Arabidopsis thaliana: one gene and its partners. The protein of the gene in region 4 interacts with the protein of the main gene of each other region in a biochemical or structural test. Each region holds a gene or a part of one and is shown on either strand. Other genes may lie near its edges.

Region 1 (3,377 bases), on a different chromosome or scaffold from region 4:
AAAGCTTCAACTACCTATTCTTGTTCATGGCTTGCAAGTTCTCGATATCTCGAGTAATATGATATATGATTCGATTCAAGAGGACATAGGGATGGTGTTTCCAAACCTGAGGTTTATGAACTTTTCTTCAAATCATTTTCAAGGAACTATACCATCTTCGATTGGGGAGATGAAAAGCCTACAAGTCTTGGACATGTCTTCTAATGGTCTATATGGGCAGCTACCTATTATGTTTTTAAGTGGTTGCTACTCGCTAAGGGTTCTGAAGCTCTCCAACAATCAATTACAGGGGAAAATATTTTCGAAGCATGCAAATCTTACTGGTTTAGTTGGGCTTTTTCTTGATGGCAACAATTTTACTGGGAGTCTTGAAGAGGGTTTATTGAAGTCAAAGAATCTTACTCTTTTAGACATATCAGATAATAGGTTTTCGGGCATGCTTCCACTTTGGATTGGTAGGATATCAAGGCTTTCCTACCTATACATGAGTGGTAATCAGCTAAAAGGTCCTTTCCCTTTTCTACGACAGAGTCCTTGGGTTGAGGTTATGGACATCTCACACAATAGCTTCTCTGGTTCGATACCAAGGAATGTGAATTTTCCATCTCTCAGAGAACTAAGACTACAAAACAATGAGTTTACGGGTTTAGTTCCGGGAAATTTATTCAAGGCTGCGGGATTAGAAGTGCTTGATTTGCGGAACAACAATTTTTCTGGAAAGATACTGAACACTATTGACCAGACATCTAAGTTACGTATTCTTCTTCTACGGAATAACAGCTTTCAAACTTATATCCCTGGGAAAATATGTCAGCTAAGTGAAGTTGGTCTGTTAGACTTGTCTCACAATCAATTCAGAGGCCCCATACCATCATGTTTCAGTAAAATGTCTTTTGGTGCAGAGCAGAATGACCGTACCATGTCACTTGTTGCAGATTTTGACTTCTCATACATTACATTCTTGCCACATTGTCAATATGGATCACATCTTAACTTGGATGATGGTGTCAGGAATGGTTATCAACCAAAACCAGCAACCGTAGTGGATTTTTTAACGAAAAGCAGATATGAGGCGTATCAAGGTGATATTCTCCGCTATATGCATGGTCTGGATTTGTCGAGCAACGAACTATCGGGTGAAATTCCAATCGAGATTGGAGATCTTCAGAATATCAGGTCCCTGAATTTGTCAAGTAACCGCCTCACAGGCTCCATACCAGATAGCATTTCAAAGCTGAAGGGCTTAGAGAGTCTTGATCTATCCAACAATAAGCTAGATGGAAGTATCCCTCCTGCGCTAGCCGATCTCAACAGTTTAGGATACTTGAATATCTCATATAACAATTTATCAGGTGAAATCCCTTTCAAAGGCCATCTTGTTACCTTTGACGAGAGGAGTTACATAGGCAACGCTCATCTCTGTGGACTTCCTACAAATAAAAATTGCATCTCCCAGAGAGTCCCTGAGCCACCAAGTGTGTCAACGCATGCCAAAGAGGAAGAAAATGAAGAAGAAGGTAATGTGATAGACATGGTGTGGTTTTACTGGACTTGTGCTGCAGTCTACATATCTACATCCTTGGCATTGTTTGCTTTCCTCTACATAGACTCACGATGGTCCCGAGAATGGTTTTATCGTGTAGATCTATGCGTTCATCATATTCTACAGTTCAAGCGTTCCTCAGTCTGCAACTGATTCTGTGGATTAGCCAAGGTATACACCACTGGAATAACACAGTCTTAAAATGCTTTCTTAGTTGATCCAAGTTAGATGAGAAAAAGCTTTTGTATACAAAATATATGTCTTCGATGTCAAATATATACATGATACCAGTTTCAATTTCTAAACATTATCTCATAATATTTGGGCCTCAGGAGCCCATTATAGCCCATAAAACGCATAACGGCTGAATAGAGTCGTACTGTACTTGAAATTGAAAGGCATCTACTAGTAGACTCTAGAGTTTTCTGGATTCTGTTTTCCAATCTTTTCATCGTTTTCGTGTGAAGTTTAAAGAAGTTTGGGACCCGTAAATTCTAGAAGCTCTGGAGATTTCTTGTTCACCACTATAAATACATCATCCGAGTCACCAGCTTTGCTCAGAAGTAGAAATCGAACTCGCCGGAAAATCGTAATTAGCTATCTCAGCATTCCAAACATCTCTTTCGCTTTCGAAATCAAATCGAGAATGTCGCTTATTCCAAGCTTCTTCGGCAACAACAGGCGAAGCAACAGCATCTTCGACCCGTTCTCACTCGACGTTTGGGATCCATTCAAGGAACTGCAATTCCCGTCGTCGCTCTCCGGAGAAACATCGGCGATAACGAACGCACGTGTGGACTGGAAAGAGACGGCGGAGGCGCACGTGTTCAAGGCCGATCTGCCGGGGATGAAGAAAGAGGAGGTTAAAGTGGAGATAGAGGACGACAGTGTGCTCAAGATCAGTGGAGAGAGACACGTGGAGAAAGAGGAGAAGCAGGACACGTGGCATCGTGTGGAGAGGTCGAGCGGGCAATTCTCGAGGAAGTTTAAGCTGCCGGAGAATGTGAAGATGGATCAAGTCAAGGCTTCCATGGAGAACGGAGTTCTGACTGTGACGGTGCCTAAAGTGGAAGAGGCTAAGAAGAAGGCTCAAGTTAAGTCTATTGATATCTCTGGCTAAAGCCAATTAGCTTATGGGTTTCATGTTTATGCGTAAAGACTCTTCTGATTATGGCTCTTGATTTGAATATGGCTCTGTGTTTTGGTAATGATGTATTATAACTGTTAATCCTAATAATTAAGCAAGGCCTTTATATTCTCGTTTCAATTGCTTTTTCTGAAGATTTTAGCCGTAAATTCGATTTTAACTCGGATGGGACCAACTAAACTTAAGTTTAAAGGTTGAATTTTTAATTTAGATATGCAATTTGCATAATCTGATCTTAGTTTTGGTATGACTGATTTGTAACAAAGTCTTATAACAAAAAGTTGAAATTTAATGAAATTATTTCTTCCGTGGTAAACAAAAAAAAAAGAATCTCAAAATTCGAAACTAAATAAAAGGGAGTTTCCGTTTTCACCTCTTGGGCACAAAACCCGCAACGTATAAGGAAAGGAAACAGAGAAATACAGAAACAAAATATATAAAAAAAACATTTGTTCCATTCTCGATCCTTCCGGCTTGCTCAAAAGGTAAAATTCGATTTTCTAGGGTTTCGATTTGCTGCTTTTTGATCTCATTGACGATGATTAGTTGTAGTTTCTTCGATCGATGTTGACGTGAATGTGTATATGCGTAGGTTGATCAGACGCTAGGATTTGAGAAGCAATGGCGAATAGAATAGATCATGAGTACGATTACTTGTTCAAGATCGTCCTGATCGGCGATTCCGGT
Region 2 (3,232 bases), on a different chromosome or scaffold from region 4:
GTTTGGAAAAGCAACTCAAGTGGTCGTGAGAGATGTGGTGGCCAGTTCAAGCACCCTACTGACGCTCTGGTCCACTTCTAGTGCGCTTTTACCGCCCATGATAAATGCGGCCGAGCTTTATGTAATTAGTAAGGGTACAAGCGAAAGCACAGGCGGAAACGAAACTGGTTCCGGTTCAGGATCAGGATCCGGTGGAAGTGGAGGAGGAGGATCTGGGAGCAGTGGATCCGGATCTGGTTTGTTTTCTTGGAATGCATTTTTAATGAATTACTCTATTTTTCGACGAATTACCAAAACAAACAAGCTTTTAGTATATTTAGATTATATAATCACCTTTGAAGTTTGAGTGAAAAAAAAAGAGAGTCACATTGAATTTTATTTGTGTTAGGCTCAGGTGGGACTAGCAAAGGAGGAACTGGAGGTAGCAATGAAGTGAGTCCAGGTTTGTATTTGGATCTTTCTATTCATTTTATCTTGTTATCTTATGGGTTTGTTAATTAGAAAAAGCTCTCAGTAATCATCATAACATGAATATTATGAAGAAAAGAAAAAAAAAACATTTAGTTATGCATATTATGCAAGTAAAAAAAATTACATTTGTTATGGGGTCAGGTGGATCAACCAATGGAAAGAGCAGTAAACTGCCAATTATACTCGGTGTAGTGTCACCGGTTGCGTTTGTTCTTGTCGCATATGTGTTCATCGCTATAATCTTAGCTAATCGTCGCAAAGTGAGGCTGCAAGCCTTGGCTATGCCTACGTCCACAGGTATTTATATATAGAGTGATTATATATTTGATCCATTTCTTCTAAACATATATGAAGTTTTGTTCATGCATGGCTAATCTCTCTATCTACTCTAGAGATGTGACTAGTTAAATGTTTTGATGATAGTGGCTACTATGGGGACTGGACCGTCAACTCTGTTCACACAACAGATGGACAATGATTCTACATCAAACCAGCCTACAAATGAAATGGGAGAGATCGACGACCTTACTGGATGAACCAGTCATACGTAGCGCAATGATATTGAACATCATGTAAAAGAAATGTTTTAATCTTGAGTTTTAGTATATGTTTTCAATGATTTTTTTTCTCTCTCTTTGTACGTAATAGTTTGATTCTTCTGATCATGAATGTCATGTATCCGCATTAATGTATATAGTTATAAATTTCTATTATCATTTATTTATTTTAGGTTGCGCTTTATTTATTCTCAATTTTCCCATACGAATTTTTTGTCTTTATATTTATCACAAAAAAAGAGTTTGCTCTTTAAAAAACTATACTAATGTAATTTTTTTATTTTATTTTCTCTATCTTAATCGGATATTAATCCGACTCTTCTTCTTCCCAAAAATTAATATTAGTTTCAAATCCAAAGCAACCCACCTCATTCAACTTTCCTTCGATTTTCTTCAAATTTCCAGTTTCCACTTGCTTTCATTGCTTCTTTCCCGCCGTTTCTAGATCTTCAATCGAGAAAGGGATTTGCAACTTTTCACACAAAAATCTTAGATTAATTGTTATTAATAACTTGTTCATCAAACCACTAAAAATCCCGTGTCATCTTCGACTTCTTGGTTAAAATTCAATAAAGAGTGTAACTTTTCATTGCTATAACTTAATAATTTGTTTGTGAGAAGAGAACTCTAGTCTTACAGGGACCAACACCAACAATCAAAATTTAGATAATGAAGAATAGTTGCTGATGCATGATTAAGATTGAATTTATCAACAAAAGATAAGTGTTCATTATACAACACGTGATTAATTGCATGGTGTATTAAGGCCCATTAACGAAGTCCATGGTAAAATGAAACGGCATGGCGTTCACTACCCCACCTAATGAACTGCATGTCGTCTCAACCATCAACATAGAAGCTTCTTGAAGCCACCTGAGAAATCTGGTAGCGACACTCTTGAAAGACACGTTATAAAGAAACGGAAAGAAGAAACCTGAAATTTCAAGAAACTTGCAGAGCTTTCTATCTCTTATCCTCTTCTCTACCATCATTTCTCCCTATAAATACGCCAACGCACATAAGTGTTTGCATTCGAAGAGAGTTCTAGCAAAACAAAACAAAACAGAGCAAACAGAGTAAGCGAAACGATGTCTCTAGTTCCGAGCTTTTTTGGAGGCCGAAGAACAAACGTGTTCGACCCATTTTCACTAGACGTATGGGATCCGTTCGAAGGATTCTTGACGCCCGGGTTGACAAACGCACCTGCCAAGGACGTGGCAGCGTTCACAAACGCTAAAGTGGACTGGAGGGAGACACCTGAAGCGCATGTGTTCAAGGCGGACGTGCCTGGGCTTAAGAAGGAAGAGGTGAAGGTGGAGGTTGAAGATGGTAACATACTTCAGATAAGCGGTGAGAGGAGCAGTGAGAATGAAGAGAAGAGTGACACATGGCACCGTGTGGAGCGGTCAAGTGGGAAGTTCATGAGGAGGTTTCGGTTGCCAGAGAATGCAAAGGTGGAGGAAGTAAAGGCGAGTATGGAGAATGGGGTGTTGTCGGTTACGGTGCCGAAAGTTCAGGAGAGTAAGCCGGAGGTCAAGTCCGTTGATATCTCTGGTTAAGAGGAACTCTGAAGTTGGAAAGCTTAAGACAGTAATATGTGATAGTGTGAAATAAATGGTGCGACTTTCCTTTCTTCTTTTTCTTGTAATCACCAATCTCGTTGTATCAATATAAGTAATCGTAATAAAAGAGTGTTTTGATCCATTGATAGTTACGAGCCAACCATACGAATCTTTTGAATATAAAAGTTTTGAAGTGTCATTTCTCCTAGTCCTAATAAGTTTTTAAGTGAAGGGACCTCAGTCTTGTCAGCAGAACACTAAAGAAACTTTCCGACCTGACTTTGTTGGATTAGGATTGTTGTGGCTGCGAGTCACCAAGGACGAGGGTTCTAAGCAATGGCATCTGGCTCTCGAGAAGTTCCCGTTTGGTCAAGATTCTGTCTGCGGAGCAATCATGTTCCTGTTCATGTTGATGGAATAGTTTTAAGATATCATTCACTACAGATTTAATTGGTTTCATTTCAAATGAACATTTGTAGCCCACAAAATAAGAGAAGGATATGAACCTCGCCGGATGAAGCTGACATTAGAGCAAGAAGAGTTACAGTTGCTGTTTGGTAATCTGTCAGAGTCTTGTACGCAGATTCATCAAGTTTTTCCTACATGGTTTAAAATAGACGTGTTAGCCACAGAAAAAGAAAA
Region 3 (3,210 bases), on a different chromosome or scaffold from region 4:
TGTCCATTTCGAATATTTTAATGCTAAGTTTTTTGTGGTGAAATTGATATATAATAATCTTTTGTCCAACCATTAGTTTTTTTTTGTTTCTTCTCCAATTTGTCTTTGAAATAATAGTTTTGGGATTGGACAAAATAAAAAGTAATAGGTAAAACTGAACCAAAACAAACCTGTTTATATCGAAATTGAATCAAATTTCTTTTATTGGGTCAACCACCTTGTATTATGCAAATTGAAACTCTAATGGTGACGTACGACAACACTAAGACCATGTTATCCGGCATGTCCTGGTCTAAAGTTTAATATTAAACCGAGTAGTTAATTTTAGAACTAAAATATGTTCAACTTGGTTATTATTAAGATAAAAAAATTTATTATATAAAATTTAGTTTTTAAAAATAGTAGAGGCTAGAGACACATATTTAGAGGTGTCAAAATGGGTAACCCAACTCAACCCAACTCATAATCAAATGAGTTTAGAGTTAAATGAGTTATGTGTTAACTCAACTCATTTTGTTAAATGGGTTGGGTCAACTCATAACTCATTTAATTTGATGGGTTGAGTTGTTAAATGGGTTAACCCATTTAATTAATAATTTACTTAATTACTATTATAAAATAATAATAAATAATTATCATTATTAATTCATTATCATCAAACTTAGGATATTTACGGATTCTACTTTTTATGGGTTTACGTTTTTTATGGGAAAATCTTGGGTTTACGTTTTTGGTGGGAAAATCACGGGTTTACGTTTTTGGTGGGAAAATCACGGGTTTACGTTTTTGGTGGGAAAATCACGGGTTTACGTTTTTGGTGGAAAAATTACGAGTTTACGTTTTTTGGCGAGAAAATTACGAGTTTACGTTTTTAGCGTCAAAATTACGAGTTTACGTTTTTGGCGGGAAAACCACGGGTTTATGTTTTTGGCGGAAAAATCTCGGGTTTACGTTTTTGGCGGGAAAATCACGGGTTTACGTTTTTGGTGGGAAAATCACGGGTTTACGTTTTTGGAAAAAAATTATGGGTTTACGTTTTTGGCGGAAAAATTACGGGTTTCCGTTTTTGGCGGGAAATTATGGATTTACGTTTTTGGCGGGAAAATCTCTGGTTTACGTTTTTGGCGGAAAAATCAGGGGTTTACGTTTTTGGCGGAAAAATCACGGGTTTACGTTTTTGGCGAGAAAATCACGGATTTACGTTTTTGGCGGGAAAATCACGGGTTTATGTTTTTTGGTGGAAAATTTACGAGTTTACTTTTTCTCAATTTCATCGCATGTATATTTAAGAAATTTGGAAAAATATTAATTTTATTAAATTGGTTTAGATGTGTTGGTTAGACTTAAATTGACATTGATTTAGAAATTTTAGTTGGTTTAATTCAATTTTACAAAACTTGATGGGTTAATTGGGTAAACCATTGAAACCATTAATCATTACAACCCAACTCATTTTACTCATCAAACCAATTGACTCATCAACTCATTTGACCCATCAACTCATTTGAGTCAAAATTTTCAACTCATTAGGGTTTATGGGTTGAGTTGAGTTGACCAATAAATTTTGACCCATTGACACCCCTACACATATCAAATAATTTTAACCTATCTAAATTTTTTTTATAAAAATTACTAACTAACATGTCACGAGTTCACGACACATATCAATAAAAATATTAGATGTCTTCATGTATTAAGTCTAAATTTGTTAATACATTTACTGAGAAAATGAAAAAGTTAATAACTCTATATGAAAAAGGAGGTTATATATAAGTAAAAAAGAAATTTGATAATAAATTAAGAAAAAAAAAAACACAATTTGTAACTATATTAGAAAAAAGGTAAAAGTTCCTTATCCTAACAAAAAAGAAATTGTTGATATATTGAACTATTTATCTAATTCTATTGATTGTTTTTTTCCATATATATATTCCCAAGAAAATAAAATAGGGATCCTTTCAATTATATTTACAATTATATAAAAAGTTTGTATTAATTAACCAATAGACGGATAAAAAGTTGGGCCATAGTTTAACAAACAAACTATCTTTATCCAATGAGAAGCCCAAACCGGCCCATTTTAAACATCCTAGTAAAACCCATCTCCCGATCTTAAACCATCGGTTGATACCACCGACACGCGAACAAGACGACGACGCAGCGATGGGAAAAACTTCGGGAGCGAAACAGGCGACTGTGGTGGTCGCAGCGATGGCGTTAGGATGGTTAGCCATAGAGATCGCTTTCAAGCCTTTCCTCGATAAATTCCGCTCCTCAATCGACAAATCTGACCCAACCAAAGACCCCGATGACTTCGACACCGCCGCTACTGCAACCACATCCAAAGAGGGTTTGTAAAATTAGGGTTTTATCAGATTAAAGAGATTTACTGATTTCAATCCATTTCATGTAACTGATGAATCCATGTGTTCTTAATCATAACAGTTTGAGCAATTTCTTTTGAGTCATGATCGTTTATTTGTCATCAATTTTTGGAAAAGTCTGCTATATTGAATCTGTTATTGTAGTTCAATCGCATAACAGAATCATTAATCTAATCAATATTCATACATGATTTGTTACACCGTTTTTCGTATTTTGTATAAAGTTTCGAGCTGTATTATTAAGGTGGAAGAAGAGATTAGGAATCCGATAAGTACTTAAATTGTTTTAAGTTATGATTCGATTATACGTATCTCTTGAAAAGAAGCATGTTAGAGCAAAATATCAAACTTGACAATTACAAGATTGCTTTATAGATAAAGCAGATTAGCTAAATAAGTATAGGGAGACGATAACATGTGGTGATACAAAGATGTGTCAGATTGATTGTTTAACATCATTTAGTTGAGAAAACTTTGGACGACGACTGACTTCATCATATGAGAAAACACCAAGAAAATGTACTACTAGTCTCTAATGGAGAGACTTGGTTATAGAAGTTCATTGTTTAATTTGAATATTTACTCCAATTCAGGAAAATATCAAAACCAGAAAATTACATGAAAATTACTATAGATGGTAGCTTTGCAATGATTATTGTCCGGTTGGATAGTTTCATTGACATTTAGGATTCAGATTATCTCTTTTATCATTATCAGTTTGTTAAGGCAAGAGTTTTCTAATACATGCTTAAGTCCTAATCATCAGATATTTCTTCTTCAAACCTTTTTTGTTTTGTTTTGATAATTTGCCCCATTTTGTACTCTA
Region 4 (5,155 bases):
GACAATTTTGAAACATTGACCACATAAGAACAGTACCAGACCATAAGCTTGTGGAGATGCCACTTCCAAGATAGAGAGATTGAAATCAGGGTTCTGAGCCAAAGCAAGTCCAATAAACTTTCCATAGGCCATTCCTGCTGCCCCGCCAATAAAGAGAGAAGGAGCATAGTATCCACCGACAAGTCCAGAAGCCCGACACCATGCGGTTGCAGCTATCTTGACCGCTACCAGCTGAAGCAAAAGATCAGCTGAAAGACCCTTCACAAATGGACGTTTCTCCAACAAAATATCCACATTCTGAAAACCCCAGTATAATACTTCAGGGTATACCAAAGCTATGATACCAACACTTAATCCACCCATTACAGGAAATACAGCCTTTGGTATCCCAGCATCCTTGTTAAGACTGTCAACAGCAGATGTCATGGATGATGTACATCGAGATAATGCCAACGAGACCAAGCCACACAGAGCGCCCAATAAAAGATAGAGTGGAAGTTCTGAAAATCAGTGACCAGCTCTCATAAGTTTGGTTTCTGGTTCCCTTGCGTAAAAAGCATAAGAATGGCAATGCATATTACCTCCAGGAGAGCGGAAGTCATAGTCAGGAACCTTAAACGCAGGTTCAGAGCCGAGACCGATTTCGGAAACCACAGAAGCAGTAACAGCACTAAGAATAACCATAGAAGTTGTGTTTGGAAGTGAAGTTGATGAATCAGTTGATGAAGAAGGCCACAAAACGGATTCAACTGCAAAGAAGCATCCAGCCACAGCTGCATTGAACCCTGTAACAACATATAACAAAGTCCTCTTAACGAATCAATCAAGAGTTCCATACGCAAGAGAGAACAACATTAGCAAATATCAGATGAACAAACCAGAGGAAATGCCAGCAGCTGAGCCAGCGGCAAGAAGTGAGAAGCCAGTCTGAGGACTTTTATTGAACAGAGAATTCACACCTTTAGCGATTGACGCTCCAATTTCAACACTTGGACCTTCCGGCCCCAGCGAATTTCCAGTCCCAAGCGTCACACATGCGGCAACAGTCTTAAGGAAAGGACGCAACACTGCCTTTACGCGATCGAGACTAGAATGAGAATCTCCAGTAGATTTTCCAGCAGATTCTCGAAGCTGATTGAGGATGCTCACCACCAAACCGCCGATAGTCGGAACAAGGATAACACGCAACCAATTGGAACCGATCGGTGCCTCTCTAAGCCACGAAGCTCCACGATCAGGAATCCCATCCCAGGAAAAGTCTCGAAGCAAGTGAACACAGTTGTTGAATAGAACCACACTAACTCCAGTGAGAACACCAACCAAACAAGCCGACGCTATCGCAAGCTCCTGAGACGGCTGCTGATCAAATCCAACCTCATCCTGATCAGTCTCCTGCTTCGCCGCCGGTAAACGCGGGAAAATTCTACCGCCAATAGCGACGGAACCGAAAAACGGTGAAAGGACGACATTGAACTGAAAAGGAACGTCGGTTTTGTGAATTGGAGCGAATCTCCGGGAAGAGACGGGAGATCGGAGGGCAGCACAGAGTGGAAGCGTGGCTGCCATGAACGGCTGCTTCCGTGAAGTGACGCGTGTTTATCCATTAACGGATAATTTGATCTTAAATCACAAATCTTACGTGGCTGATCTTATTATTCAAACGCATGGGCTTGGGCCTTGAGGTAAACAGGTTTATATGGGCCAATAACAATAAATTTGATTAAAAATAAAAGGCCTCTTAGCTTTAGGTTCAAACTTCAATGGAGAAGCAGTGGCTGTTGTCCCTCGCAGTTGATCTTCTTCTCAATCCAAAATCCAGCTGATAAATAAATAATTTTTCTCTTGTCGTCATATTAAAAAAAAGAAAGATTATCTGTATTTCAAGTTTCATGAGCGTTTGCCACCACAACATTGTCTTTTCGGGTTAATTTCTTCTTCTTCTTCCTTTTCTTACTAAATTCTCTTAGGTAGTTGTCGATTCGATTTCTTTGTCTTCCTCTTCGCTTATTTTCGTTGAATCTCTTGTTTACACCTTTTCCTGAAAACAAAATTGTGTTTTTTGTAGGGTTTTAGTCATACTTAATGGCTTCCAATTCGGAGAAAAATCCTCTTCTTTCAGGTGATTATTTTCTTCTCAGTATACAATCTGATCTGCGATAATGAATCGTTTCTAGTCAGATTTGGTTATTGGTTCATTGTAATTTGTTTACTGTAGATGAGAAACCCAAATCGACGGAGGAGAATAAGAGTTCTAAGCCGGAATCAGCTTCTGGGAGTTCAACTTCATCAGCTATGCCTGGCTTGAATTTCAATGCTTTTGATTTCTCTAATATGGCTAGTATTCTCAACGTAAGTTACCTTTGCTGTTAGCACAATTGAAAAGTTATCTTCTTTGAGTTTTTTTTTAATTGATAATGGTTTTTTTTGTAGGATCCTAGCATCAGAGAAATGGCTGAGCAAATAGCTAAAGATCCTGCGTTTAACCAATTGGCTGAGCAGCTTCAGAGATCTATTCCTAACGCTGGCCAGGAAGGTGGTTTCCCTAACTTTGATCCTCAACAGTATGTCAATACAATGCAACAGGTTATGCATAACCCTGAGTTTAAGACAATGGCCGAGAAACTTGGTACCGCCTTAGTTCAGGTTAGGAATTGATGACTTTTTCCATCTAATCGAGGTGTGGCTTTGAATGAAGCTCTGTGTCTTATCTGATTTTATTTATTTTTTTTGCCTACAGGATCCACAAATGTCTCCTTTTTTGGATGCTTTCTCGAATCCTGAAACAGCAGAACACTTTACTGAGCGTATGGCGCGGATGAAAGAAGATCCAGAGTTGAAACCTATACTAGATGAGATTGATGCTGGTGGTCCTTCTGCCATGATGAAGTGAGTGATACAAACTTCTTTCAATGTTTTTTAGAGAAACTGTAGAGTTTGTTTCTGTTTATGAAGGAAGAATTATTTATTCTGTTTTAGGTACTGGAATGATCCAGAAGTGCTGAAAAAGCTGGGTGAAGCAATGGGTATGCCTGTTGCTGGCTTACCAGACCAGACTGTTTCAGCTGAACCTGAGGTAGCAGAAGAAGGTGAAGAAGAAGAGTCTATTGTTCACCAAACTGCCAGTCTTGGTGATGTTGAGGTTAGACTGCTTCCTACGTTAATATGCTTGACCATGTGAGATTTATCTTGCGTGTTGCTTGAGGAATTAGATGTTCCAAGTTTTGTTTTGTTGAACTCGTTATTGGATTTTTATTCGTTGATTCATTAGGGTTTGAAAGCTGCCTTGGCATCTGGTGGTAACAAAGATGAAGAAGATTCTGAAGGAAGGACAGCATTGCATTTTGCTTGTGGATACGGCGAGGTATGCAATTCTCTTATCAATTCACGGCAATTAAATATTCGGATTTAGATGGTTCTCTTTTTTTCAGTAGCTGTGAAGTTAAGAATCTTTATAATCATTCAATTGGTAGAAAAGTAACCAGTCTACTTACGTCTACGAGTTTCATGACACAATTACTTATAGCAAGTTCAAATATTTGGTGAAAGAGCAATGAGATGGAACTGGCGATTACTTGCATACTAAAGATTTTGCTTATGAATATGGATTGAACTGAGTTTAACCCTGTTGAGCCCTATCAACAGTTGAAATGTGCTCAAGTTCTTATCGATGCTGGAGCAAGTGTTAATGCGGTTGACAAAAACAAGAACACACCTCTGCATTATGCTGCTGGTTACGGGAGGAAAGAGTGTGTAAGCCTTCTCCTGGAGAATGGTGCTGCAGTGTAAGTCTCACAACACAGTACTTATAATGAAACAACTCCATTAAACACTGTTTCAGGACTTTAATTATATGTGCTTTGGTTGATGTGTGTGGTTGCAGCACTCTGCAAAACCTAGACGAGAAGACGCCAATTGATGTAGCGAAGCTCAACAGCCAGCTGGAGGTGGTGAAGCTGCTTGAGAAGGATGCTTTCCTTTGAGCTCTGCTGGTTAAAGGAAAGCTCTAAGCTCATATTGTCTTTGAGGCATTTGTCTTGTGTGTGTCCTGAACCAGTTTCACAGGCTTTTTGTGTACACTTTTTATTAGTTCCTCTCTTCTTCTAAATTTGTCTCTTATGTTGTTTTAAAAGTCAATAAAGAAAGAAATAGCAATCAATGATTTAATTTATGATTATATTCTTTATTTCGTCGACCTCTACAGAATGATTCAATTTGGAAGAATCATTCTGGTTTGGAGGATATGTAAGAAAAACTACTTGATCTCCAAGTTATTCCATTCTTCTGTTACTGTATTGCCCAAATTCCCAAGCTTGACAATATTTACGCAAAGCTCAAAACCCAAAATATTTGAGAATCAAAACAAAATCAAGGGTCTTGTCTTTTTTTTTTTTTTTGGTGTGAATCAAAGGTCTTGTCTTTGCAAGTAAATTCGTTCCTAATGAACTGTGTGAGTCGTTTAAAGTGTTTGATAAGCAAAGCACGAAGCTTTGCACGGCTTGGTGGTGAATCCACTCTCTCTCAACCGCCGTCTCTCGCCTCCGCCGCGTTTTCTTCATCCGCCGTCATGAATGGTCTCGAAACTCACAACACAAGGCTCTGTATCGTAGGAAGTGGCCCAGCGGCACACACGGCGGCGATTTACGCAGCTAGGGCTGAACTTAAACCTCTTCTCTTCGAAGGATGGATGGCTAACGACATCGCTCCCGGTGGTCAACTAACAACCACCACCGACGTCGAGAATTTCCCCGGATTTCCAGAAGGTATTCTCGGAGTAGAGCTCACTGACAAATTCCGTAAACAATCGGAGCGATTCGGTACTACGATATTTACAGAGACGGTGACGAAAGTCGATTTCTCTTCGAAACCGTTTAAGCTATTCACAGATTCAAAAGCCATTCTCGCTGACGCTGTGATTCTCGCTACTGGAGCTGTGGCTAAGCGGCTTAGCTTCGTTGGATCTGGTGAAGCTTCTGGAGGTTTCTGGAACCGTGGAATCTCCGCTTGTGCTGTTTGCGACGGAGCTGCTCCGATATTCCGTAACAAACCTCTTGCGGTGATCGGTGGAGGCGATTCAGCAATGGAAGAAGCAAACTTTCTTACAAAATATGGATCTAAAGTGTATATAATCCATAGGAGAGATGCTTTTAGAGCGTCT

Evidence for each region.
Region 1: the proteins of AKR2 (region 4) and AT1G07400 form a complex in vitro, tested with the Arabidopsis thaliana proteins (one study listed by BioGRID).
Region 2: the proteins of AKR2 (region 4) and HSP17.4 form a complex in vitro, tested with the Arabidopsis thaliana proteins (one study listed by BioGRID).
Region 3: the proteins of AKR2 (region 4) and OEP7 form a complex in vitro, tested with the Arabidopsis thaliana proteins (one study listed by BioGRID).

The regions. Positions count from the first base shown.
Region 1 is NC_003070.9:2,272,959-2,276,335, forward strand, and holds AT1G07400 (HSP20-like chaperones superfamily protein), read left to right. Parts: upstream 1-1,967; 5' UTR 1,968-2,189; coding exon 2,190-2,663; 3' UTR 2,664-2,825; downstream 2,826-3,377. Other genes in the region: RLP1 (receptor like protein 1), read left to right, coding at 1-1,696; RABA2b (RAB GTPase homolog A2B), read left to right, coding at 3,312-3,377. UniProt on the Arabidopsis thaliana protein: Cytosolic mediator for sorting and targeting of nascent chloroplast outer envelope membrane (OEM) proteins to the chloroplast. Functions as an AKR2A cofactor to facilitate the targeting of OEP7 to chloroplasts.
Region 2 is NC_003074.8:16,983,618-16,986,849, reverse strand, and holds HSP17.4 (heat shock protein 17.4), read left to right. Parts: upstream 1-2,008; 5' UTR 2,009-2,116; coding exon 2,117-2,587; 3' UTR 2,588-2,732; downstream 2,733-3,232. Other genes in the region: AT3G46240 (ER protein carbohydrate-binding protein), read left to right, coding at 1-236, 389-421, 613-768, 895-1,007; AT3G46220 (E3 UFM1-protein ligase-like protein), read right to left, coding at 2,880-2,990, 3,097-3,189.
Region 3 is NC_003074.8:19,427,612-19,430,821, forward strand, and holds OEP7 (outer envelope membrane protein 7), read left to right. Parts: upstream 1-2,074; 5' UTR 2,075-2,163; coding exon 2,164-2,358; 3' UTR 2,359-2,648; downstream 2,649-3,210.
Region 4 is NC_003075.7:16,837,780-16,842,934, forward strand, and holds AKR2 (ankyrin repeat-containing protein 2), read left to right. Parts: upstream 1-1,752; 5' UTR 1,753-1,967; exon of another isoform or gene 1,968-2,065; 5' UTR 2,066-2,082; coding exon 2,083-2,119; intron 2,120-2,148; exon of another isoform or gene 2,149-2,215; coding exon 2,216-2,349; intron 2,350-2,430; coding exon 2,431-2,643; intron 2,644-2,737; coding exon 2,738-2,886; intron 2,887-2,952; coding exon 2,953-3,139; intron 3,140-3,268; coding exon 3,269-3,361; intron 3,362-3,642; coding exon 3,643-3,782; intron 3,783-3,880; coding exon 3,881-3,980; 3' UTR 3,981-4,170; downstream 4,171-5,155. Other genes in the region: CLC-E (chloride channel E), read right to left, coding at 37-500, 582-785, 879-1,566; NTRB (NADPH-dependent thioredoxin reductase B), read left to right, coding at 4,439-5,155. UniProt on the Arabidopsis thaliana protein: Exhibits chaperone activity toward chloroplast outer envelope membrane, mitochondrion outer membrane, endoplasmic reticulum membrane and peroxisomal proteins, by recruiting specific proteins containing a single transmembrane associated with an AKR2A-binding sequence (ABS) and subsequently binding glycolipids (e.g. monogalactosyldiacylglycerol (MGDG) and phosphatidylglycerol (PG)) present in the membrane of the target organelle.